Linked DNA regions of Alligator mississippiensis. The protein of the gene in region 1 purifies or fractionates together with the protein of each later gene. This does not show direct contact. Links are inferred from orthologs where the notes say so. Each region holds a gene or a part of one and is shown on either strand. Other genes may lie near its edges. The genes, in order: KIFAP3 and KIF3C.

What was found.
Region 2: the proteins of KIFAP3 (region 1) and KIF3C purify together in Homo sapiens (co-immunoprecipitation; 3 studies listed by BioGRID and IntAct, counting the BioPlex papers as one, with this or other methods). This does not show direct contact. The link is inferred for Alligator mississippiensis from reciprocal best matches to the Homo sapiens genes KIFAP3 and KIF3C.

Annotation. Positions count from the first base shown.
Region 1 is NC_081828.1:45,974,597-45,986,340, reverse strand, and holds the start of KIFAP3 (kinesin-associated protein 3), read right to left. Parts: upstream 4,580-11,744; 5' UTR 4,482-4,579; coding exon 4,450-4,481; intron 1-4,449. UniProt on the Homo sapiens protein: Involved in tethering the chromosomes to the spindle pole and in chromosome movement. Binds to the tail domain of the KIF3A/KIF3B heterodimer to form a heterotrimeric KIF3 complex and may regulate the membrane binding of this complex.
Region 2 is NC_081824.1:1,326,248-1,337,822, reverse strand, and holds the start of KIF3C (kinesin-like protein KIF3C), read left to right. Parts: upstream 1-5,839; 5' UTR 5,840-6,411; coding exon 6,412-7,824; intron 7,825-11,575.

The DNA.
Region 1 (11,744 bases):
ATAGGGCATCAGCCCAATGCCAATTGAGAGGGGGCATCAAAATGGTGGCAGTCGCCACTATGGTAACAACAGCCTGTACCATAGCAGAACCCCATGCGTCTTAAGACTTTCCAACACTCAGTATCCTGCCTCTGGCACTCAGCGTTCCTCTCCTCCCCCCCCCCCCCCCGCCCCCCAATTCTCTGCCATTTAAGCAGTGTAAACATTCCAATTGATGCCCATGTCTACTTTAATTATTTTCTTTTGGTCCATTTATTATAAAGGGTGATTCACTCTTTTCTGGGCAGACGATCACAGAATCATAAAAATAAGGGTTAGAAGTGACCTCACATCATCTAGTCCAACCACCTGCTCAAAGCAGGACCATCCCCAACTATATCATCCCAGCCAAGGCTTTGCTTAGCTGGGTCTTAAACTTCCAAGGATGGAGATTCTACAACCTCTCTGGGTAACTTGCTCCAGACAGTTTTTCCTAATATCTAAACTAAACTTCCCTTGCTGCAACTGGAGAACATTGCTTCTTGTTCTGTCATCTGCCACCACTGAGAACAGTCTAGCTTCATCCTCTTTGGAACCACCATTCAGATAGCTGAAGGCTGCTTTTAAATCACCTCTCGGTCTTCTCTTCTCCCGACTAAATAAATCCAGTTCCCTCCGCCTCTCCTCATAAGTCATGTCCCCCAGCCCCCAACCATTTTTGTTGCCCTCTACTGGACTCTCTCCAATTTGTCTGTCTACACCCATTCTATAGTAGTGGCCCCAAAACTAGACACAGCATTCCATATGTGGCCTCACCAGCACTGAACAGAGGGGAAGAATCACTTCCCTTGATCTACTGGCAACGCTTCTACTAATGCAGCACAGTATGCCATTAGCCTTCTTCGCAACAAGCTGAATGTAAGCCAACAGCGTGCCCTTATTGTCCACTGTAATGCCCAGGTCCTTTTCTGCAAAGCTGCTGTTTAGCCAGTTGGTCCCCAGCCAGTGCATGGGACTGTTCCATCCTAAGTGTAGGAATTTTCACTTCTCCTTATTGAACCTCATGAGATTTCTTATGTTCCAATCCTCCAGTTTGTCAAGATCTCTCTGAAACCTAGCCCTACTCTCAAGGGCATCTACTACATCCCCAGCTTGGTGTCATTTGCAAACTTGCTGAAGGTATCCTCCATCCCATCTTCCAGGTCAGTCACTGATGAAAACACTGAACAAAACTGGCCCCAGGAGCAACCCCTGGGGCACTCCACTTGATATTGGCTGCCAGCTAGACATCGAGCCATTGATTACTATCCTCTGAGCCAGACAATACAGCCAGTTTTCTTTCCACCTTACAGTCCATCCATCCAACCCATATTTCCTTAGCTTGCTAGCGAGAACGTTATGGGAGACCATATCAAAAGCCTTGCTAAAGTCAAAGTATATCATGTCTACCGCTCTTTTCTCACATCCACAGAGCCAGTCATCTCATCATAGAAGGCAATCAGGTTGGTCAGGCATGACTTCCCTTGCTGAATCCATGCTGCCTGTCGTTCTCCTCCTCTAAGTGCTTAGAATGATTCTTTGAGGGTCTGCTCCATGATTTTTCCAGAGGCTGAGGTGAGGCTGACTGGTCTGTAGTTTCCTGGATCCTCCTTCTTCCCTTTCTTAAAGACAGGCATTAGATCTGCCCTCTTCCAATCATCCAGGACCTCTCCCAATTGTCACAAGTTTTCAAAGATAATAGCCAGCTGATCTGTAATCACATTAGCCAACTCCCTCAGCACCCTTGGGTACATTGCGTCCGGCCCAAATTATTTCTACAGGCCCAGCTTTTCTAAATAGTCCCTAACCTGTTCTTTTGCCACAGCTGGCTGCTCACCTCCTCCCCAAACTGTAGTCTGGGAGCTGATCTTGCCTTTAAAGACCAAGGTAAAAAAGGCATTGAGTACTTCAGCCTTTTCCCCATCATGTGTCACTAGGTTGCCTCCTCCATTCAGTAAGGGACCCACACTTTCCCTGATCTTCATCTTGCTGCTGAAGTTCTCCCAAGGCTATCCAGCTTCCCCAGGACTGAGTGACACACTTGCAGGAAAATTGGAACAGTACGCATAGCCCCTCACTGTAGTAACCACAACCCAACTGGTCATAAACAAAAACTGACCAGCAATGTAAAGGAGGGGCCTTCTCTGCAGGGATGGCAACAGCTGTATGTTACCAGGGTTCTGAATTCATAGTTTTGTCATCAACCCACATCAGGTGACTTACTTATTCTCTTCTGTGCCTCTATGTCCCCATTCTATAAGTGGGGCAAATAAAACTTAGCTGCGTCCCAAGTGGGGTTGGAGGACACTGAGAACCTCCAACAGAAGAAGCTATAGAACCACAAAATAACGCTGCATGAAAAAGATTGCGAGCCGCAGATCAGTTCACAGCAGGCCTAGATCTATACCATGACCATCTCCTTTCCTAACGGATGAACCCTGCCTAGCGAGGGATAAAGCCCACACCAAACAGAGGAAAATTTTATTCTCTCTAATCTAAGACTTATTAAGCATTTGTGTCAAGTCTCAGCAACCTTTCTGATCCTTCTGCAGTCTGATGATGTTCTTTTCCAAGTTGTCTCTCCCATCAGTCTCCTTTAAGACGGTTTTGACCATTGTCAGCATGGTGTATGGGCAATCCAGCAAGGTTGCCAGCCCTAAAGCTTTCAGATATTTCTTTTCATAGAGCAGTGTTTCCCAACCAGTGCACCGTGGCACAAAAGTGTACCATCAGAAACGAACAGACATTCTGCGGAACTTTGTCATGGCAATGAGCTACAATAGGTATGAGGATGGGGAATGCCTTAATAGGTAAATGCCATGGAAAGTGTTTATTAATGTAAGCGTGGCTTGGGCTGGAAAAGGTTCGGAAACACTGTCATAGAGCAAGTAGGAGTACTCTTGGTAGTTCTTCTGTAGAGCAACTTCTTCCACCACTAGGAATTCTTTGGGGCAGATAGGATAGTCTGCACCTGGCTCTGCAATGTGTTTTTGTGTGGAGTCTCCACAAGGTGGAGGGGTTCATCCAAAGGGAACAGTTCCCAGAATCAAGACCCTAAAGAGAGATAATTAAAAGATACCAGTTCTGTCACTGTCTTCCATTTATCTCAGGATTAATCTCATGGGAGAAACTACCCAGCACTACTTCTCTTTGACATCCTATGCTGAGTCAACACCTGTTCTTCAGGGACAGGATAGGAAGTATTTACAAATGTACAGAAGGAGAAATCTGCCAGTGTGAGTTGCTCTGCACAGAGATCTAGCACTTCCTCAAAGATTTTTCCCTTCTCAGGAATGTGTGCTATGCATCCCATGAGCCCTGCCCCCAAACAGGATAGAGTGGGCAAGCTTGACTGGAGGCATTATTGCTGTGGAGATGCTATATTTTCTTCCTTATCCCCCTCCCATGGACTGATGTAATGGGTCACAAAACCTGCTCTAGTTATTGGACTGTTACAGGCTCTAATGGCTGGGACAACCATTTTCTTCCCTCGCCCATGCATAGTGCCAATGCTATCCCAGCTAGGAGGGCAAGGTCCTGTTTAAAGAATTTGCTCTTTCACCAGTTCACATCTCAGCTCCTGCCTCGAAAAACTTTTTTCTTTTTAAAGCGACTCAAAATTGACAGCTGTACAGGGCTACAGATGCACTCAGCATTATCACCGTCCACTACAACAATATCTTATTTGGGCCTCCAGTGCCACAAAGGAAATTATTAACTGAAGCAAAGGGAAATACACCCAGGAAAGAATTCCTCTTGCAGATTAAGTTTCGCAGCCAGCCGCCCACTTTAAAAATCATCCAGATGTGGATCGCTGCTCAGGCCTGCAGGACAAACGCCATGCTGGGTGGTCAGCACACGCCCACATCGCTCTGTGCTTTGTTCACCTGCTTTGTTATGGAAGTGACATGAATCTCGCTCCCGTGCAACCTTTCTCTTCTGAACCTCCCTGCCGGGACAGAAGAGCTCTGGCGCACACCAAACTCAGGGACTGGCGCACATTGAATTAAATCCATTAGTGGAGGGAGGTGGGGGGGCTGTATTCACTGAATCAGCACAAAGCACACACGGGCAAGAACGCCATCCTCTACAACAGCAACAACCTGCGTCACCAGCTGAATCATGGGGGAGCCGGGGATGCGCTGGGCATCCCCTGCGCCCGCCCCCACTCACCTGTCTGGGACTAAGGACACAAGGGGCTGCCAGAGGGGATGCAAGAGCGCGGGGTGGGGAGTGGAAGAGAGGAGCGGGATACCTGCCCCCCGGCCTCCACCCTCCCACACACGTAGAAAAATACCCCCAGCCCCCACCCCAAATCCTTATACATGGGGGGCAAGGGAAGCCCGTGAAAGCGCAGGGCAGGACCCGGCCTGGATGCGAGGGGAGTCAGCCCTGCCGCGACCCCCACCCACCCCATCCCCGCCGCGTCACCTCTTGAGGTATCGGGCGTCCTCCCCCTGCATGGTGCGGCCGGCCGGCCGGCGGGGCGGAGGCCCGGGCGAGCAGCAGGGCGCTGTCCGCGCCGGCGGTTACCAGGGTGAGGCAGCGCCGGCTCCGCCCACACGCCGCGACCGGCAATGCGCAAGCGCCGCGCGTGCGCAGAGAGGCCCGCTCGGGACCGATTTGGCGAGGCAGTCGCACGAGATTGGGCACGGAGGGAGGTGCCACGCAGCGCCCCCTGGAGGCGCGGCGGGGGAAGCTCCCGGGCCTGCGATGACCCGCTAGGCTGGAAGGGAATCGCCAAGCTCGGGCTTTCAGGGGCGGAGTCAGCCCTCGGCAGGGCTGTGGCCTCCGCTGTAGTGCAGGGCTGCTGTTGGTAGCCTCATGGGCTGGGTCCGGACAGTGTCTGCCCACCCTCAGGGTCTCCCACCCATGCAGCTCCAAGCACACCTTTGTGGTACCCCAGGAGCAGCTAGAGGGGAGGTCTGAGGCTTGCAGGGGTGCCTTGTTCAAGTTACAGCAAGGGAGGTTTAAGTTGGATATTAGGAAAACTTCTCTCACCAGGAGGGTGGTGAAGCACTGGAACAGGTTACCCAGAGAGGTGGTGCAATCTCCAGCCTTGGAGGTTTTTAAGGCCTGCCTAGACAGGCAGGGATGATTTAGTTGAGGATGGTCCTGCTTTGAGCAGGGGGTTGGATTAGATCAGTGATTCTCAACCTTTTTTGTACCAGGACCCATTTGTAAACATTGATGGCCAGTCCTGACGCAGTGCCCCTCACTCTAGACCCGCTGCCCTCTACCCCCAGGTCCCAGCCCCCAAGTGTGTGGGGCAGGAGGAGGCCCGAGGAGCCCCTCGCAGGCTGGAACGCCGACAGCTTGCAAGGGAAAAGTGATGATTTCCCACGTTTCTCTCCTTTAAAGGAGAATCCATTTTTTAAGTTTGTTGATCCATTTTTAAAGTTTGTTCGCAACCCTTTCATATATTTTTGGGAACTACTTTTGGGTCGCAACCCACAGAATGAAATACATTGGACTATATGACCTCTGGAGGTCCCTTCAAACCCTCATTTTCTATGATTCTAACTGGCATGAAGGGTTCACTCACAGTGCTTAGAGTTGCAGTAAGTACCCTGCACGAGGCAAGTTAAGGCTCCTGACATGCCCACAGTGCACTGGTTTCAGTGTATATAGGACAGGTGACCCTAAACCGACCCCCAGGTCACACAAGGTTCTGTGGTTAGATGTGATATCTGTTGTTAGACTAACTAAGTAGCTGGAAAAATTGTTCTTTGCAAGCTTTTGGGTACAAACAGCCTTTGTCAGGCATAGGGCGAGTCTGCTGGTGTTGTGTGCGCTCTCCTGGGTAGAATAGAAGCACAATATGCACAATGCAGGTCTGTGCAAATGCAAATAAGTAGCAGTGAGGATCTGAGGGAATGGGAGACAATAGGTGTGAGGCAGGGGGGAGACTCTCCCTATGCCTGATGAAGGGTGTTTGTACCCAAAAGCTTGCCAATTTTCCCAACTATTTAGTTGGTCTAATAAAAGATACCACATCTATCCAAAGAACCTTGTTGCCTATGTCCTTACCAACACTGACTACAACCAAGAACCTTAGCACCAGGTCTGCACCACAGCTGCGGCCAATGTAACTTGAGCCCAGTAGCTCCAGCCTCTAGCATTCCCAAATCATGAGTCAGGCACCAAAAATCACGAGATCTTTTAAAAACAACAAAAAAACCCAACAACAACAAGAAGTGCTGAGCTCTTATTTGCCATCTGGTCTTGAGCCTTTTGGTTACAGTCAGGTCATACTCTCAACCTCCTCACCACAATTCTGAATGCTAGGAATTTTTCTTTTCCATGAAAGCTGAGCTTTTCACACCATCACTTGTTTCCAGGAGCAGGGGTTTGAAGTAAAACACCAAATATTGTGAGACCTGTGGTAAAATTGCCAGAGGTTGGCAACACTGTGAACCCTGTTCAAAACTGCTGAGAAAATATCCCAATTGCAGACAGGTCCCAGACACAAGGGTGCCAGGACAAACACCTACTCTTGCCTTAAGTGCTGTGGTGTCTTCCAGACCCTCACACATCCCTTTGCAGATCCAGGTTTTGTACCCACAGAGCAATATGCAGGAACTCTTATTTTTCTGCCTGGGATGAATGCAGGACTAGAGGGATTTAACCAGGTTGTTTCAGTGAAGTATAGGTATAAAGCTGATATTTTGGGCACTTTTTTAGCTCTACACATAGCTTCACTAAAAAGCTTCTAGGTTGAAATAAAAAAACTTGAAGGAAAGCATTTCAGCCCTCATTTGCATTTTTGGACAACGTGAAAGAAAAGTTTGTGTGTAGTAGCAGTTTGCTAAAGTTTCCTTTGAGAGTTGGTGTGAGTTCTAAGGGATATTTCAGGATCTTTGCTCCTTTCCATTCAGGTAACTAAACTTTCACAACTTTTTCACATGTCTCTCAGTATTTGGTATTTTTCTGAAAACCAACATTTGTAATGTGATTTTGTGATACTTGTTTTTCCTTAGGTTCATCTGAAGGTGTGAGAAGCAGGTTTCATTAAAAAAAAAAAAAGTATATTTCTGACTTCATGGCTCCACAGAGAAAGATTGAAAATGTGACTCTAAAACAGAAAACACCGAGGATCTGATGACATATCATTTAAAAAATAATCCCAGGAATTTTAGGCCTGTTGCATGATTGTAGGGGCCTGGCTTATGATCCTTGAATATTTATAGTTTCCAGTAAAAACTTCAAATATGTCATGTTCTAAGCAACAACACATACATGTGTAAACATAGGCCCCAAATCCTACAAAATGCATACACATGAGCAACTGTAGTTTGTGGCAATAGTGTTTCATTGTCTCCTCTACCAACAGGGAAGCTGTGGCAGAGATAGGTGAAGTGATTTGACTGTGGTCACCACCTGTGACAAAGTTTAAGAATAGCTGGCTTCCAGTCCTCAGCTCATTCCCCCCACCCCCAGTTCCCAATCAAAAGAAACATGAACCTTCTCCAAAAGGCAATCATACTGTAATAGGCATGCACATCATGCTTTTCCCACATGTTTATAATTTTGCAGTTTCTCACTCTGCCTCTTTCAAATGAGGCAAATCATGCAATCCAGTCTGCTTACACCCATGCTATTAGTTGTAATCATAGGAACCCAAGCCATAGGTTAGATCCTTATGATGCTAAGCACCATACAAGCATGGAATAAAAAGATGGTTCCTGCCCCAAGGAGCTTACAGTCTATTTAAGCTCTGTTGTCTTGATCTCTCAAAGATGTAAACATGTGAGCAACTTTATCCAAACACATGCAGAACGTAGAAGAAGTTCCAAATGGATAATTTGGCAAACATTTGTCATTTCAAGTCTTGTCCTTTTAGGCTCTGCTTTGACTTTGCCCATATCGCATGGGGAAAGAATGCCAAGGGTCAATTTACAGTGCCAATAGTTAGAAGATACATTTGTTTGTGAGAGTGCCAATATAACTCCAGAAACCCAATGAAACCTTTTTAGCAGCAATTTGTGGTTCAGCAGCCAATTTTAATCCATTTGCTTTGTCAACAAGTACATTTGGACTATTGAACTACTCCCAACAAGTCTTATACACTAGACAACAGTTGACAGGGCCACAGTTGCTGCTGTAAGGGCAGTTTGGCATTCTACAGCAGGGCTGGTTTAAAGAAGGTAATTTTTGTCCTCACTTACCCTCCCCAACTCCTTTTGTCACCACACAGTATTGTATTATGATCACAGTTTCACACCCCAGACTTTAACATCAGGGTAAGGATTTTTTGTAAGGATATTTCAGTGTTGAGTCCCAGCTATGTACTCTTATGAGTCAGTTCACAGATGTGGCATCATGGGAAAGAAGGGAAGATTTGCACCTTACAGACTAATTTTGTCCTTTTTCAGGAGGTGTTTGAGGTCATTAATGATGTATTTAAGGTGTTCGATCTGGGGGCTGTAGGTGACAACTAGAGAGACTTTGTTGTTGTTGTCCCGGGGTTGGTATTATAGGAGGTTAGCATGATATCCAAGTGTGCTTTTATTGATCCGAGTGCCTACAGTTCTGGAATTGTATTGGAATTGTAGGAATCCCTGCTCCTGGTCTTTAAAGCATGCATCCCAGCCAGTGGGATCAGCATGGATATGATTGTAACATATGGATTGGCCGTAGACAGTGAATCTAGTGGTGTGGTTAAGATGAAAGTTGGTGGTATGAAGGTAGCTGTGGTGGTCAGTTGGTTTCCAACACAATGTGGCCATTGCAAACATTCACTGTAGTGTCTAGGAAATGAATTTGCTGGGTGGAATATTCTAGAGTTAGTCCAATGAAGCGAGTTCCAAAAAAAGATTTAATTAGTCTACAAGGTGCAAACTTCCCCTGCTTTCCACTTGACTTTAAACTAACTTAGCCAACTATGGACACCTATATACATGCTTGCGAGGGGTGTGTGGGGGTGCATTTTAATTAGAGCGGCTCTCAAGGGCTGCTTTAATTAAAAATTCCTACAGTGTCTTGTGTATTCAGCACCCCATATTTCAAGGTGGCACCAGCAGGACTTGTTCAATGAGCTTTAGTTAAAATTGCCCCTACCGCCATTTTGAGGTGCAGGGATGCTGAATACACAAGATGCTGCCGCACACTGGAATGTTCCCATTAGAAGTCTTAATGCAACACATTGGAGCATGCGTGAAGTGCTCCATGTCTCATGAAAAAGACCAGAGAGGCCAATCAAACTATGACTTCAGCTCATCCATGTCTTCAGCCAGATTCTGCAAGTGTGACAAACTGTTTGCCATGCAATTGAATTGTTTTTCATCTTGAGGGAATGGAAATCAAGACTTATTCTATATTTCCTGCTTTCATCCAGATGCTGGCTAACCAGAATACAGTTAAAAAGGCTGGGCTTTCAAGAATGCTCTGGATGAAGTGAAAAACACTGATTTTATAGATAGTTTTAAGGAGTATTTCTCTCAGCTTCAATCCCTTGTTACTCTGTATAGCATATAAGTTTTACTACAAGTTGTAACCTAATCCTCCTCTTCCCACAAGTCCATTTTACCATTTTCTTACTAATAAAATTGCTACCATGTCTTGTATCTATGCTTTTGCTCCACATCATGTTTCCTCTCCAAATGTAAACCCTTAAGGCACTGTAGTGTTGTGGAGTTGGTTGGTAACTCTCTCAATGGCTTGAGATCTTTCTAGTGGGTCTTGTCTGTTATTACCCAAACCACCAGAACCAAGAAGGACAGAAGACTATATACTAGAGTACACACCAGCGTACTTTCCTTTGTGGGAACCCAGCAGTGCTTGTGTAGTTTTCTTTTCTTGTCTTAAGAAATGTAGTCTATGTCTATATGTAACAGGACCAGGCCCCAGGGGAGCTGCAACACCCCAACAGCTATACGATTCCTGCCCAACTTGATCTCTGAGATACCTTCCCTTTATTCTTCACTTGCCACAGCTTGTTCTCATTAAGAAATTGAAAAGGGAGACTGCCCATGGGCTTAAAGCAAGCCCTAATCAGTTCCTACCTTTCTCTGTCTCCGACTCTTCCCATCAGAGCAAGCTCTCCATTAAGTGGGGTTCCTGGCCATTTCAAGGCACCTGTTGCCTTATGGGCTCCATACCTTCCCCACAGCTCTGCACATGCCTCACAGATGTCAAACATGCTTATTGTAAATTAGCTTTTCTACTTTGGAGAACAGATAGCACCAGCTGAGTCTCCCCATGCTGGACAAATGGAGTTTGTGTCCAAAAGCTTGCAAATAATTTCCCCCGGCCCCCAGATATTCGTTTGGTTTAATAAGAGGTATCACATCTACCCAAATAACTTTGTCTGCCACATCTAGTGAGATGCTCATCCCCAAGGCCACCAGGCCACCTCAAGCATTACTCTTTTGTTTGGGGCTCCATGCCATTCTGGGCTTCAGGCCCTGCCCCTCACTGGGCTCTTTCTGCCCTTCTTGGGCCACACCAAAATTCCCTGGCCCCATCTGCCTTAAACATGATCCCTGGCAGGGATCAAGGTGGTCATATGCCCCTCAGGCACTAACAGACCTCCAAACCACCAGTGTAAACTCTACACCAAGATAAGCCCTCTGGCTATAACAACTTCCTAGCAGTGTCTAAGCACAAACTCCAGCTCATTGGCTGTATCACTCTGCTCCCCCCACCCTGAGTCCAATTTCCTTACAAGTCAACAGCATTCTAGATGCATTACTCCCATGGTAACCCAGGCATCAGCAAGCAGCTTTTTTTGTTACTTGCCTGCTCTTTCTTCAGCAGCTCCCAGAGCCAGACTGACCACTTTGGCTCAAGCCCTGGGTTTATATGGCTGGAAGCCATGCCCCAGTTTGGTTATGTGGTTCCCTGAGCTGCCACAGGTAATCCCTGATTTAGCTTGCCGGTTGAGCCTCAGGGCAATTTACTACTGCTGGTCTCTGTTGAAATAATAGCTTATCTCCCATGCAGGGCACTAATCCAGTGGGCTGCTACAGTACAGCTAACAGTAAATAAGTACTTGTAGTAGGTTAATCTCCAGGTGTTTGTTCCCTGGTAGTTCATAATGGGCAACTTTCTTCTCCTGAGGCTCTCCCTGATGTTCCTGCACCCAGGAGCCTCAGGCTGTCTGTTACACAATAGTACACAGTTAATCCAGGTGATTTGCACTTGGGTCTTCAAGCCTAGTTGTGAGTAATTGTTGCAAAGCTCCACATTACTGTATCCCCATTGCTTCTTGACTAGTCATTTGTGTCTCTATATCTGTTGCCTCTTTCTGCTGTGGTTTTCTGAGATTTTATCCCAAGCAATTTTGAGAGATCTTGTCTATTCTTTGCGGGTAGTTTGGGGGGGAAAGCACTTAAGTAATTTAGGCTGCATCTTCACAGAAAATTGATAGCAGAACTGGGTGCTATCCCACACCAGCCAGGTAAGCAAGGCTGGACTTGAAGCCTACTTCTGTGCCCACCTCAGAAGTCTTTCTATGAGGAGAGTAGGAACAATCTAAGGCTCAAACTCAGGAGGCTGGGGTAACTATGCAGAGTAAATACACCCTCAAGGGCCAACCAAGTCAGGTTGCTTAACTTACATTAAATAAATATGATGGATAAGTATTCCAAAAAAAGTTTGCATAATATTGAATATGAAAGATGGGGAGTGAGAATATGGGACCAAGGAAAATAAATCATGTGGCTCCTTGGAGCTCTGAGAGAGGCTAGCAGGAATCTGCCTGGCAGGGAGGCACATCCAAGAAG
Region 2 (11,575 bases), on another chromosome or scaffold:
CCTCTTGCAAGCACCCCCTCCTCCCTGGCAGCTGGTGATGGCGTGGTTCAACCATCACCGGTGCCCACGGGTGCATAGCCCCAGCACCGCTGCTCACGTCGTCCTTCGCCGCATGGCCATGGCAGAGCACCTGGCTGCAGAGATCTCGTGCTGGGATCCCTCCGGACCAAACTGCCAGCATCCTCCCCCACTGCATGAGCCCCCGGGGCAGCGGAGGGGGAAACGGCACAGGGCAGGAGGGGTCCTCGAGGCTTTCAGCTCCCCCAGCTCACAGTGCCCAGCCCAGTCCTCTGGAGTCTGCGCCACGCCAAGCCACCACGGAGAGTAATGCTCCCCTGGGACGGGCGAGCCCAGGCTGCAGGACGAGGGCAAGTCTCCCTGCCTGGCTCTGGCATGCGCTGGCGCTGCCTTGGGTTGCACTGGCCTCTGCTGGCAAGAGCCAGCATCTCCTGGGCCCCGAGCCCCGTCTGCCAGCCCGGCTCCGGGAGCGAGAGGCAAGGCCAGCCGCGGCCGGGCCGGGCATCGCATCCGCACAGGAGTCTCACGCCCCTCTGCTCCCCAGATCCCGCCTCGGGGCCGGTGCCTTGGGGAAACACAGCCTTCATTCCACGTGCAAACCCAGCCCCCGGCTCCTCGGCACCACCCCAAGACCAGTGATGGGGCAGGGGGTCCAAAGTGCACCCCAGGCAGGGGCCCAGCCCCAGAGCCACGCGTCAGCACAGCGCGTGTGAGCTGTCCCTGCTGCCCCTGACGGTGCCATCTCCTGCGCCAGGCAGCGGCCGCCTTCTGCAGGCACCGGGCTGCTTTGGGAGCACAACGTGCAGCGCCGCACACCCAGAAACCCCCACCGCCACACCTCCTGTCCTGCCCCCACCTCCACCTGAGCAAAGGGGAGTTGCCTTCAGCTCACCGTGGGGTACCCCCTCCAGGCTGGCGACGTGTCCCCGGATGGCTTGGTGCCTCGAGGGGGTGGCAGGCAGGGCTCCAGGAGGGGGTTGCAGTGTGGACACTCACACCCGAGCAAGGCTGATCCTGCACCAGCTCTGCAATGAGGACGGGTTGCAAGAGAGGGTCGGGGTCCAGGGCCAGCCAGGGGGGCACACATCCAGGAGGGTGCTTGGGCCCTCAGCCCTTTGGGACGCGGGTGTCTGTGCATCCAGTGTTTGTGCAGCACCCAGGGTGGAAGGGCCTGATCCTGTCCTGAGCCCCATCTGGCGGCTCAGAGCCCGCTTTCCTTTCCCGTGCATAGGGCAGGGGATGCACTGTCCGTAGCCCCGTTGTCCTGCTAGCGCTAGCCTGCGCGCGAGGAGGCAATGTGCATCCGCTAGCAGCAGCCTGGTTTGGAGCCCGGCAAGCCAGCCCCGTTCCCAGGCCAGCCAGCCTCTCTGCCTGTCTTTGCTCCCGGTGTTCGCCCGGGATCCTACAACAACACACTGCTCCCCTGGCGTCCCAGCTGCCCCTTCCCCTTCCCGGTGCCCCTATGCGGCAGGCAAATGCAACGCCCATTTTGCAGGTGGGCAAAACTGAGGCAACAAGCGCCCAGAGCAGGAATCCAGTCCGTGTCCTGCCTGCCCCCACTGCTCTGGATGGGGTGGGATGAGATGCTGGGATGAGCAGTGTGAAGGCCTCTAATTACGTCCAGGACAGCTCTGCCAGCGTGCTCCCCAGGGCACGTCTCCGCTAGGGCCCGAGGGGCAGGGGTGCAGTCCTGTGTCAGGAGAGCGGTCGTAGCCGCCGGCGGGCCTCTCGTGCCCTGGGCCGCGGAGGGTGCGCAGCCACTGGCGGGGAGCTGCGGGGTCACATCCAGCCCAGCCCCTGCCTGAGGCAGGATCAGCCCCGTGCAAACCAGCCCGGACAAACCCCACGCGCAACCTCTGAGCCACACGACACCGTCACCCGCACACAGCCCCAGGCATCGCCCCCATCCCTGCCCCCAGGAAAACGGGGCTGCAGCCGCCAACGTCCTGCTGCTGCAGAGGGGGTTAATGTGTGCTCAAGAGACCCCAGGCAGAGCCTGTGCCCCAGCTATAGGGGAAAGCAAACCCCACCCCGCACAGCCCGTGCCCATCTGAGCAAAAGGGAAGAAGGAAAAGTCCCGTCCTTACCCCAACGCAGCAGCAGTCTGATCCTGAGTGGAGGGGCATAATGGGGCTAGTGATCCCAAGCCCGTGGGGGGAGAAGGGAAGCCGGTGTCTCTGGGCACGGACGGTGCCATGCTCTGGACGTCTCCAGCACACGAGCCAGGCCGATCCGTCAGCAGGTCGGCGACGTGGGCGCTGGGAGCGTGACTTAGCCGGGACACCCCTGCCCCAGCCCAGCCTGCAGCCCCGGACCAGGGCCCTGCTCCCCCACACCATCACGCATCGTTCACTGCAGCGCCAGGCCCGTGGCAGCGAGGAAAGCACCGCGATGCCTCCCCCAGCCCGTGCCCGTCAGCTCGGGACATGCCGAGAGAGTCGTGGAGGCAGAAGAGCCCAGCCAGGTCCCCTTCCCCACGGAGGGCTGAACCGAGCCTCAGCCCCCCGCCAAGGGGTGGGAAGGGGCTCCATGCCCACGCTGCGCAGCTCAGATTAAGGCAGCTGAATAAACACCCTAATTAATTCATTAAGGGTTAATCTCCTGTTCTAGGGAGCGGGCGGCTGCTGCGACTCGATTAACTGCAAGAGGTTTAATCGCCCACGAAGCCCGTCACGGTGGGTCCCCTGCAAAGCGGTGGAGATTATTCCGAGCCGTGCGGACACGTGCGACTGCCCCAGACCCCCCATCCCATCTGCGTGGGGCAGGGAGGGACGAGGGCAGAGGCTGAGCCAGACCCCTGTGTTTGCAGGCACTGTTAACCCCCTTTGCACACCCGCCCGTGGCTGCAGGCACCGAGAGCACCCCGCAGCCAGTCGCAGGGACAGGCGCGGGTGTTGGGGTGCTGCCCATGTCCGGGGGGGGAGCTGATCCAAGGGACCGGCCCCTACCCCCAAGTTCAGTGTGACCTCAAGCAGAGAAGCAAGACCCCCACCCCCAGCCAGGAACCGCTGAGTTGTCTAGTACCAGCAGGAGCATCCTGCAGCCCAGGCACAACCCCACAGCCTTAGCCACGGCCAACATCCCGCTGCTTCAGAGGGACGGGGAGAAATCCCCCAGAAGCCAGCAGCATCCAGGAAGGGAGGCAACTTCCTTCCTGGCCCCTAATGGCAACCAGCAAAAGCCCTGATGCATGGGCTTGCCAGACACCTTCCCCATGACAAGAGCCATCTTTGTACCTCACCCAGGAACCGCACACGACCCACGTAACACGCACCGATTGGCATGCCAGACGCCTCTGTCCTGTGAGACCAGCCCTTCCACAAACGTACCCGGGTCAGGCTAAGGGATGCTCTGCGCTCCCACCGTTTTTCCCTGAATTATAGAAAATGAGGTTTGAAAGGACCTCAGGAGGTCACATCTAGGCCAGCCTCTGCTCCAAGCAGGACCAGCCCCAGCTGCATCATCCCAGCCAAGGCTTTGTCTACCTGGGTCTTCAACACCTTCAAGGATGGAGATCCCACCACCTCTCTGGGTAACCCATCCCAGCGCTTCACCACCCTCCTTGTGAGAAAGTTTTTCCTAATATCCAACCTCAACTTCCCTTGCTGCAGCTTGATCCCATTGCTCCTTGTCCTGTATCTGCCCCCACTGAGAGCAGCCCAGCTCCATCCTGTTTGCAGCCCCCCTGCAGGGAGGTGAAGGCTGCTATTCAATCCCCCTCGGTCTTCCCTTCTGCAGACTCAATCAGGCCACTTCCTCAGCCTCTCCTCACCAGTCCTGTCCCCCAGCCCACAACCATTTTCACTGCCCTCCACTGGACTCTCTCCAAGACAAGACCACTCCAGAACTGCCCTCCGTGGAAAGAAGATTTCTAGCTATCAAATCTAGATGGATCCAGAGTCAGTTTGTAGCCACGACCTCATGCCAGCGTTGGTTTTCAGCCTAAAAAGCTCTTCCCCTTCCCCCATGTTCACCCCAGAAAGGAACGGGTCAAGAGCGCTCCCAGTTTCCACTTCTAAACCAGAAGCTCCACTAATCTCCTTTCATAAGGAAAGGCCTCGCTCCCCTTCGCCGGCGCCGTGGCTCCTCTTTGAGCTCATTCCAGTTTCAGGTCACGTTCTGCACCTGGCGACCAGGCTGGCACGCCCGGTTCGCTCCCAGTCTGGACCAACGGTCCAGTCCAGCAAGGCCCCATTCAATCCTGGTGATCTCCTCCTGGGCTGGTAGCGGGCAGGCGACGGGGGCACCCTCTCGGGCCCACCTCCCTCTCCAGGAATCCTAATGATTTCGGCTCTAATGACCTCTCTCTATCCGTGCCCCCCCATGATTTAAATGAAGGACTTCCAGCTCCCCAGCACAGACCTCTGCAGCTGGAGCTAAGGGGGTTACCACCGCCCGGCCAGCAGTAGTAAGCTGTTACCTTTTATTGCATGCGAGCTCAGCAGGTCTGAAGCGTGAACTTGCCTGTCCTCCCCTCTCCTGCTTCCACCCTGAGCCCCGAGGTGGAGGTTGCCCACCAGGATGGGGCAAAGCTCCATCTGGTGACTATACATAGATAGAAAACTGCTGATATCTGCAGAATGACCTTGCCCCAAATGCCCCCCTGTCTGCTCCTGAGGCAGAAGAGGGGTGCTCAGGTCACCCCGAGGTGCTTACAGGGTGCAACGGTGCACTGGCCCCCAAAGGCCCTGGATTCGAATCCTGCCGTGCCCAAGACGGTCTGACCAGACCTGTGCTGCCGAGACGTTGCCGGCGGCGCTGGGTAGGATGGTCCCTGAGGACCAAGCTTTCGGGCGGGCTGTGCCTGGGAGCAGGGGCAGGGGCAGACGTCACAGGTCCACCTCTACTGACACCTGAGCTGCTCCGGATTCACCCCGGGGGCTGCAGGGAGCACCAGGCTGCACTGCTCCATCCTGGGCCGCGGCGCGGCTGGGGGGCAGGCAGCAGCCAAGCCGTCGAGGGCGGATGTCTCATTGCTAAGATGGTGGCGTCCTCTGCACGGCGGGCAGTGGTGTGCATGCACACACTTGCACACACCTGTGCACGTGCACGTGGCTGTGATGAAGCCACCCTGGCGGGGTGTAGGGACCAGGTGAAGAATAACCTCCCCGGATCAGCTGTGCCTGACCCCGCAGCTCCAGTCCCCCCAGCCTTCCCCCACACGTTTCTCCAGGCCTGAGCTTGGCCTCTCCATATGGATGGATGCTCGGCGCAGCCTCCCTTGGGCTCATCTCCCCATGAGCAGGGACCCCTGCAGCAGGTCGCCGCTCCCCTCTGTCCCGTGCAGGGCCGGGTCCGTGCTGGGTGCATCAGGGAGGCCCCCGGGTGCCAGGACCCCCTCCGCCCCATGTGGGTCTGGAGGGCAGTCAGCACACAGGACCCTGGGCCAGGTGACCCCCTGCCCCCAGCCGGGCAGCTGGAGATGACCCCCACACCTCTGCCAGCCGATGCACGGACCCTTGGCATCACTCCCACCCTCACGCCCTATCCCAAGCGCTGCCTGGGCTGTCAGCATCCCAGGCGCGGTGCACGGAGCCGAAATCCCCACTGCAGCCGTGGTGCAGCAGGGGTGGGGAGGCGGCCCTCCCACGTGCAAGAGCCGCAGCACCTGCCCGCAGGCCCCCGGCCCTGGGGAGAGGACCCAGGGGCCGCTGGCCTCTCCCCAGGGCTGGCAACAAAGGCAGGACTACAGCTCCCAGCGTGCTGGGCTGCGGGGCAGGGAGGGGGCTGGGGCTGGCAGACAAGCAGCATGTTGGGGGGGGGATGTTGCTTTCCCCTCCCTGCTGCATCCGCCGGCCCCCCCCAGCATCCGCCCAGGCAGCATCGCACAGGCCCGCCCAGCGCCCTCTGTTTTCCTCCCTCATTCTCGCACACACACGCATGCACAGCAGCTGCCGCACTGCAATGAATGAGGATCCGGAGGGGCAGGCCAGGCGCTGCCAGCCCTGGCCCTGGAGCCCCCGGGGGGTGCTGAGCCCCCGGCTGCCCGCAGTGCCAGGGACCCTGCGGCCGGCCTCCGCCGCGGGGAACTGAAGCCCACCGAGGCGACGCTGCCCTCAGCTTGGGGGGTTTCTCTCTCTCTCTCTCCCCCCCCCCACCATTTATCTGCTTTTCTCCCCTGCTCTATAGCCGGCGCGCCAGCCCCCACCCTGGGGTGCAGCGGAGCGGTGCCGGAGGGGATGCTGCCCGCAGCTTCTGCCTGACTGCATCCATTGTGCGGGAGGAAAGGAGGCGGCTCCAGGGCACGGAGCAGCCACAGCAGCGGCAGAGGCAGAGGCAGAGGCAGCGTCGCCAAGGGACAGAGCCGCAGCCCCTCCGCTCCATGCCGGCTCCGGCTCCGGCTCCGGCTCGGGGGTGAGCAGCGCAGCCCGGCGGCGCGGGGCAGGCGGGACCATGCTGGCCCCCAAGCCCAAGCTCAGCGAGGCGCTGAAGGTGGTGGCCCGGTGCCGCCCGATGAGCCGCAAGGAGGAAGCCGCCGGGCACGAGCGGATCCTGGAGATGGACGTGCGGCTGGGCCAGGTGACGCTGCGCAACCCCCGGGCCTCGCTGGGGGAGCTGCCCAAGACCTTCACCTTCGATGCGGTGTACGACGCCAGCTCCAAGCAGGCAGACCTGTACGACGAGACCGTGCGGCCCCTCATTGACTCGGTGCTGCAGGGCTTCAACGGGACCCTCTTCGCCTACGGCCAGACGGGCACCGGCAAGACCTACACCATGCAAGGCGCGTGGGCCGACCCCGAGAAGCGCGGGGTCATCCCCAACTCCTTCGAGCACATCTTCACCCACATCTCGCGGTCCCAGAACCAGCAGTACTTGGTGAGGGCCTCCTACCTGGAGATCTACCAGGAGGAGATCCGGGACCTGCTGGCCAAGGACCAGAACAAGAAGCTGGAGCTGAAGGAGAACCCGGAGACGGGCGTCTACATCAAGGACCTCTCGTCCTTCGTGACCAAGAACGTCAAGGAGATCGAGCACGTCATGAACCTGGGCAACCAGACCCGGGCGGTGGGCACCACCAACATGAACGAGCACAGCTCCCGCTCCCACGCCATCTTCATGATCACGGTCGAGTGCAGCGAGACCGGGCTGGACGGCGAGGACCACATCCGCGTGGGCAAGCTCAACCTGGTGGACCTGGCGGGCAGCGAGCGCCAGAGCAAGACCGGGGCGCCGGGAGAGCGGCCGAAGGAAGCCTCCAAGATCAACCTCTCCCTCTCGGCGCTGGGCAACGTCATCTCCGCCTTGGTGGACGGCAAGAGCACGCACATCCCCTACCGGGACTCCAAGCTGACCCGGCTCCTGCAGGACTCCCTGGGGGGCAACGCCAAGACCATCATGGTGGCCACCCTCGGGCCGGCCTCGCACAGCTACGACGAGAGCCTGTCCACCCTCCGCTTCGCCAACCGGGCCAAGAACATCAAGAACAAGCCGCGGGTGAACGAGGACCCCAAGGACACGCTGCTGCGGGAGTTTCAGGAGGAGATCGTGCGGCTCAAGGCCCAGCTGGAGAAGCGCGGCATGCTGAGCAAGCGGCGGAGGAGGAGCAGCCGGCGGAAGAAGGCGCTGGACGGGGAGGGCGCCCCGGAGCACGAGGCCGAGGAGGACCACGAGGACGGGCTGGAGAAGAACATGGAGAACTACTTGCGGGAGCAGAAGGAGCGGCTGGAGGAGGAGAAGGCGGCCATCCAGGACGACCACAGCCTGGTGAGCGAGGACAAGCAGAAGCTCCTGGAGGAGAAGGAGAAGATGATCGAGGACCTGCGGAAGGAGCAGGAGGCCACCGAGCTGCTGGCCACCAAGTACAAGGTAAGCGCCGGCCACGGCTTCGGCACGGGGTGGGGCCCCGGCGTGGTCACCCACGTCCCCGGTGGGAGAGCCCCGTGGCGACGTCCTGGCCCTAGGGTGGCCCCAGGCTACCTGGGGTGCTCGGCTACGGGCCAAGCCCTCACCAGTGGCACGAGCTGGGCCTCAGCGGAGTCCCGTCCACGTGACCCAGCGGCTGGCAGAGGTTGCTAGGATGATGCTGCAGATTCGCATCCCTTGTGCGGGCGCGACCTGCTGAATATGCATTGGCCAGCAGACCTGGCGGGGGGGGGGGAAGGGAGCGGCGAGGGGGGGGAACCCCCCGACTTCCTTTTGTCTCCAGCATCGCTAGCGGGCTTTAGATAGACAGGGCAAGACGCTGGCTGAGCACCGCGGGCATCGGCCTCCCCAGGGCACCCCTGCGCAGCCTGGGGGACCCCAGGGACCCCCTGCTCACGCCCCGACGGGCTTGTTTTGCCGGCAGCCGCTCAGTCAGGGGGCCGAGGCCGGGGATGCTCTGCTCGAGTGCGGCCCGCGGCTGGCTCTGGGGTGTGGCTCAAGCTCCAAAACAGCGGGTACCGCATGGGGAGGGATGGAGACTCCCCGGCAGTGCTGTCACCTGCACGGAGACACAGTCCGACGCGCGGGGAGGAGGGGGCCGCCCAAGGTCACGCTGGGAAGGAACCCAGGCATCCGGCGCCCACCCACCTCCGCTCAGTGGCAGCTCCTTTCCCCCGTTTTCTTGCTGGAGCGGGTGCCCAGGTCGGCGGCCTGGGCACCGTGAGCCTCCCCACGCCCCGCCTCGCGGGAACAGGGGCTCTGGGGCTGGCAGGGGTGGCTCGGTGCTCCCCGAGAGCCAGGAAGCGGGGTGCTGGCCAAGTCCCGTGGTGCGTCTCCCGTGTCGCTGGCGGGGTGTGGGGGTGCCGGCGTTTGTGATCCTGGAGGAGGGGGGGAGCTGGGGGTGCAGGAGGGGCCCTCCTGGCGCTTTAACCCCTTGCACGCCACAGGAGACCGACCGCCTGCTGCGGGCCAGGAGTGCAGGGGATGGGCGCTCTCTGGCCGTGGGGAGGGGCGGGTGGTCAGGGCAGGACGCAGCCCTGGAGGCTCCTGGCTGCGGCGTGGCCTGGTGCAGAGATGCCTCGCCGCCTCGCCGCGGATGCAGGGCTGACTGCTGCTCCACGCAGCACCCAGAGGCCGGCGGGGCCGCCCCGCAGTGACCGATGCCTGCTCCTCCCGCTCCGCCAGGACCCGACGGGCAGCCCCCAGCACTCGCAGGGCACCCTGCTGTGATATCGCAGGGATGGGGGAGTGGGCGTCTGGCTGCCTCCACCCTTCCCGTGCTAGTTACTGCCCTGGCGAATTCACCCCCTCGTGGGAGGGCAGCAATTCAGGTCCCCTTTCCCACGGCGGGCTCTGGAGCCAGCACCGGGCAGTGGTGTGCATGCACACAATTGCACACATCTGCATGCCAGTACATATGCAAATGAATGCGTGCACCGGGGTTCGGCATCCTCTGCACACTTGGCCTAGACCCTCCTGGCTCCGTCCTTCGTCTCCCTCGGTTCAGTGCCTCGTCCCTGCCTGTCTGCGGGGGGGAGGGCTGCCTCTCTGGTCTTGCCCCTTCCAGGTCTTGCTCTTGCTCTGCCCCGGCTCTGCTGCTGCTCCCCCGCCTGCAGTCACGGCCTCTGATGGTGCCAGCCCTGCCCTGAGCTGCTGCTGGCAGGGGGGACGTTTCTATAGGCCCTACAGGAACCGCAGATACTGCACTGGAGAGAGCGAGGTCTTGGGGCCGGGAGCGAGACCCCATATCCCTCTAGACTTTCACAGGGCTGAGGTTTGTGGGGGCGAAGCGCAGGCTCTGTCTGTGACGTCCCCTCCCTGGCGAGATGCGGCGTGGCTGGCCCAGGGCCACCGCGTGTCCTGTCACTGCTGAGTAACCCAGCAGCGGGGCCGGGGCCTGGGCATCCCGGCTCTCTGCCCTCACCCGCAGAGCGTCCTACCTGCCCGGGCTGTTATAGGTCCAAACCCTTGCCGGGCGCGCTGGGTGCTGTACGCACAGAACTGGCCGGCATCCAGGCCACGGCCACGTCCTTAGGCTTCGTGGCAGAGCAGCATTTGAAGGAGGGCAGCGGCAGGCTGGGCACATGGCTACAGGGGCCGCGAAGGGCTCTGCAGATGTTTACCCGGACCCGGGGTGGGGAGTCTCTGTTTTGCACGGTGCTCGCACCTGTGCCGGCGACTGCCTCGGCCCGGCACATAGCAGCAGTCGCAGCGCGCAGGTCTGGGAGCCCAGAGCCAGGCCTCGGCCAGCTCCCTGAGCGCTGGTCATGGCCTCCGGCCTCCACGTGAGAGCAGCTTGCTCCGGCCAGCTGTGTCCCGCTGACCCGTCGAGGCTGCCGGGCGCTCGTGCCAGGCCGGGTGGCACTGCCCAGCGGCCGAGCCCCGCGGGCAGTGGGGAGGGGGCGCGGGGGAAGGGGCCGGGAATGCAGCGCGGGCATGAATGAGGCCCTGTGTCCGGCACATTCCCTCACTCATTTAACGAGCATAATAACGATTAGCAAGCAGCTCGCCCGCGGCCGCCGGGGAGGCGGGGCTCCGGCATAAAGGCGGCTGTTGTGTTCCAGAGGGAGCCAGGCGCACACATGTGGGTGTGAGCACAGCCAGACACACACGGGGCCGCTGTCTCGCCCGCCCACACACACACACACGCACACATGCACACACACAGATGTGCTCTTTTCCTTTGTCTCTCGGTCACACATGCACACGCTCTGTCTCACACGCATGCTCGGTCACACACAAATGCACGTGTGTAGTGTCGCACACGGCCCTGCTTTCTGTCACATGCATGCTCTGTCACACATAAACACCCTGTTCTGTCATGTAGATGTGTGTTCACACACATGCTCTCTGTCACACACATCTAGCTGTGTTTTCTCTGTCACGCACACAGATGTGCGCGCTCGCACACTAGCTGGCACACATGTTTGACCCCCTGAGGTCCCTTCCAACCCTAATTTTCTATGATATGTGCCCACGTGTCGTCCCACACGGATGTGTCCTCTCTGCCACACGCACATGCTGTATCACACATGCACACACATTGTCACACAAATGAGTGCTGTTGCACACACACGTGCTCCGTGTCACACACGCGATGACGTGTGTTTTCTCAGTCTCACACACAGACACACTCTCTTGCACACACAGACACCTGCAGATGTGGGCTCCTGTGGTTGTTGCATGCACACGTGCTCTGTGTCACACACACGACGATGTGTGTTTTCTCAGTTGCTCACACACAGACACACTCTCTTGAACACACAAACACCTGCAGATGTGGGCTCCTGTGGTTGTTGCACACACACGTGCTCCGTGTCACACACGCGATGACGTGTGTTTTCTCAGTCTCACACACAGACACACTCTCTTGCACACACAGACACCTGCAGATGTGGGCTCCTGTAGTTGTTGCACACACACGTGCTCCGTGTCACACACGCGATGACATGTGTTTTCTCAGTCTCACACACAGACACACTCTCTTGCACACACAAACACCTGCAGATGTGGGCTCCTGTGGTTGTTGCATGCACACGTGCTCCGTGTCACACACACATGACAATGTGTGTTTTCTCAGTCACTGACACACAGACACACTCTCTTGCACACACAAACACCTGCAGATGTGGATTCCTGTGGTCTCACCCCCCCAACACACACACACACACACACACACGCTGTCCATCTGCCG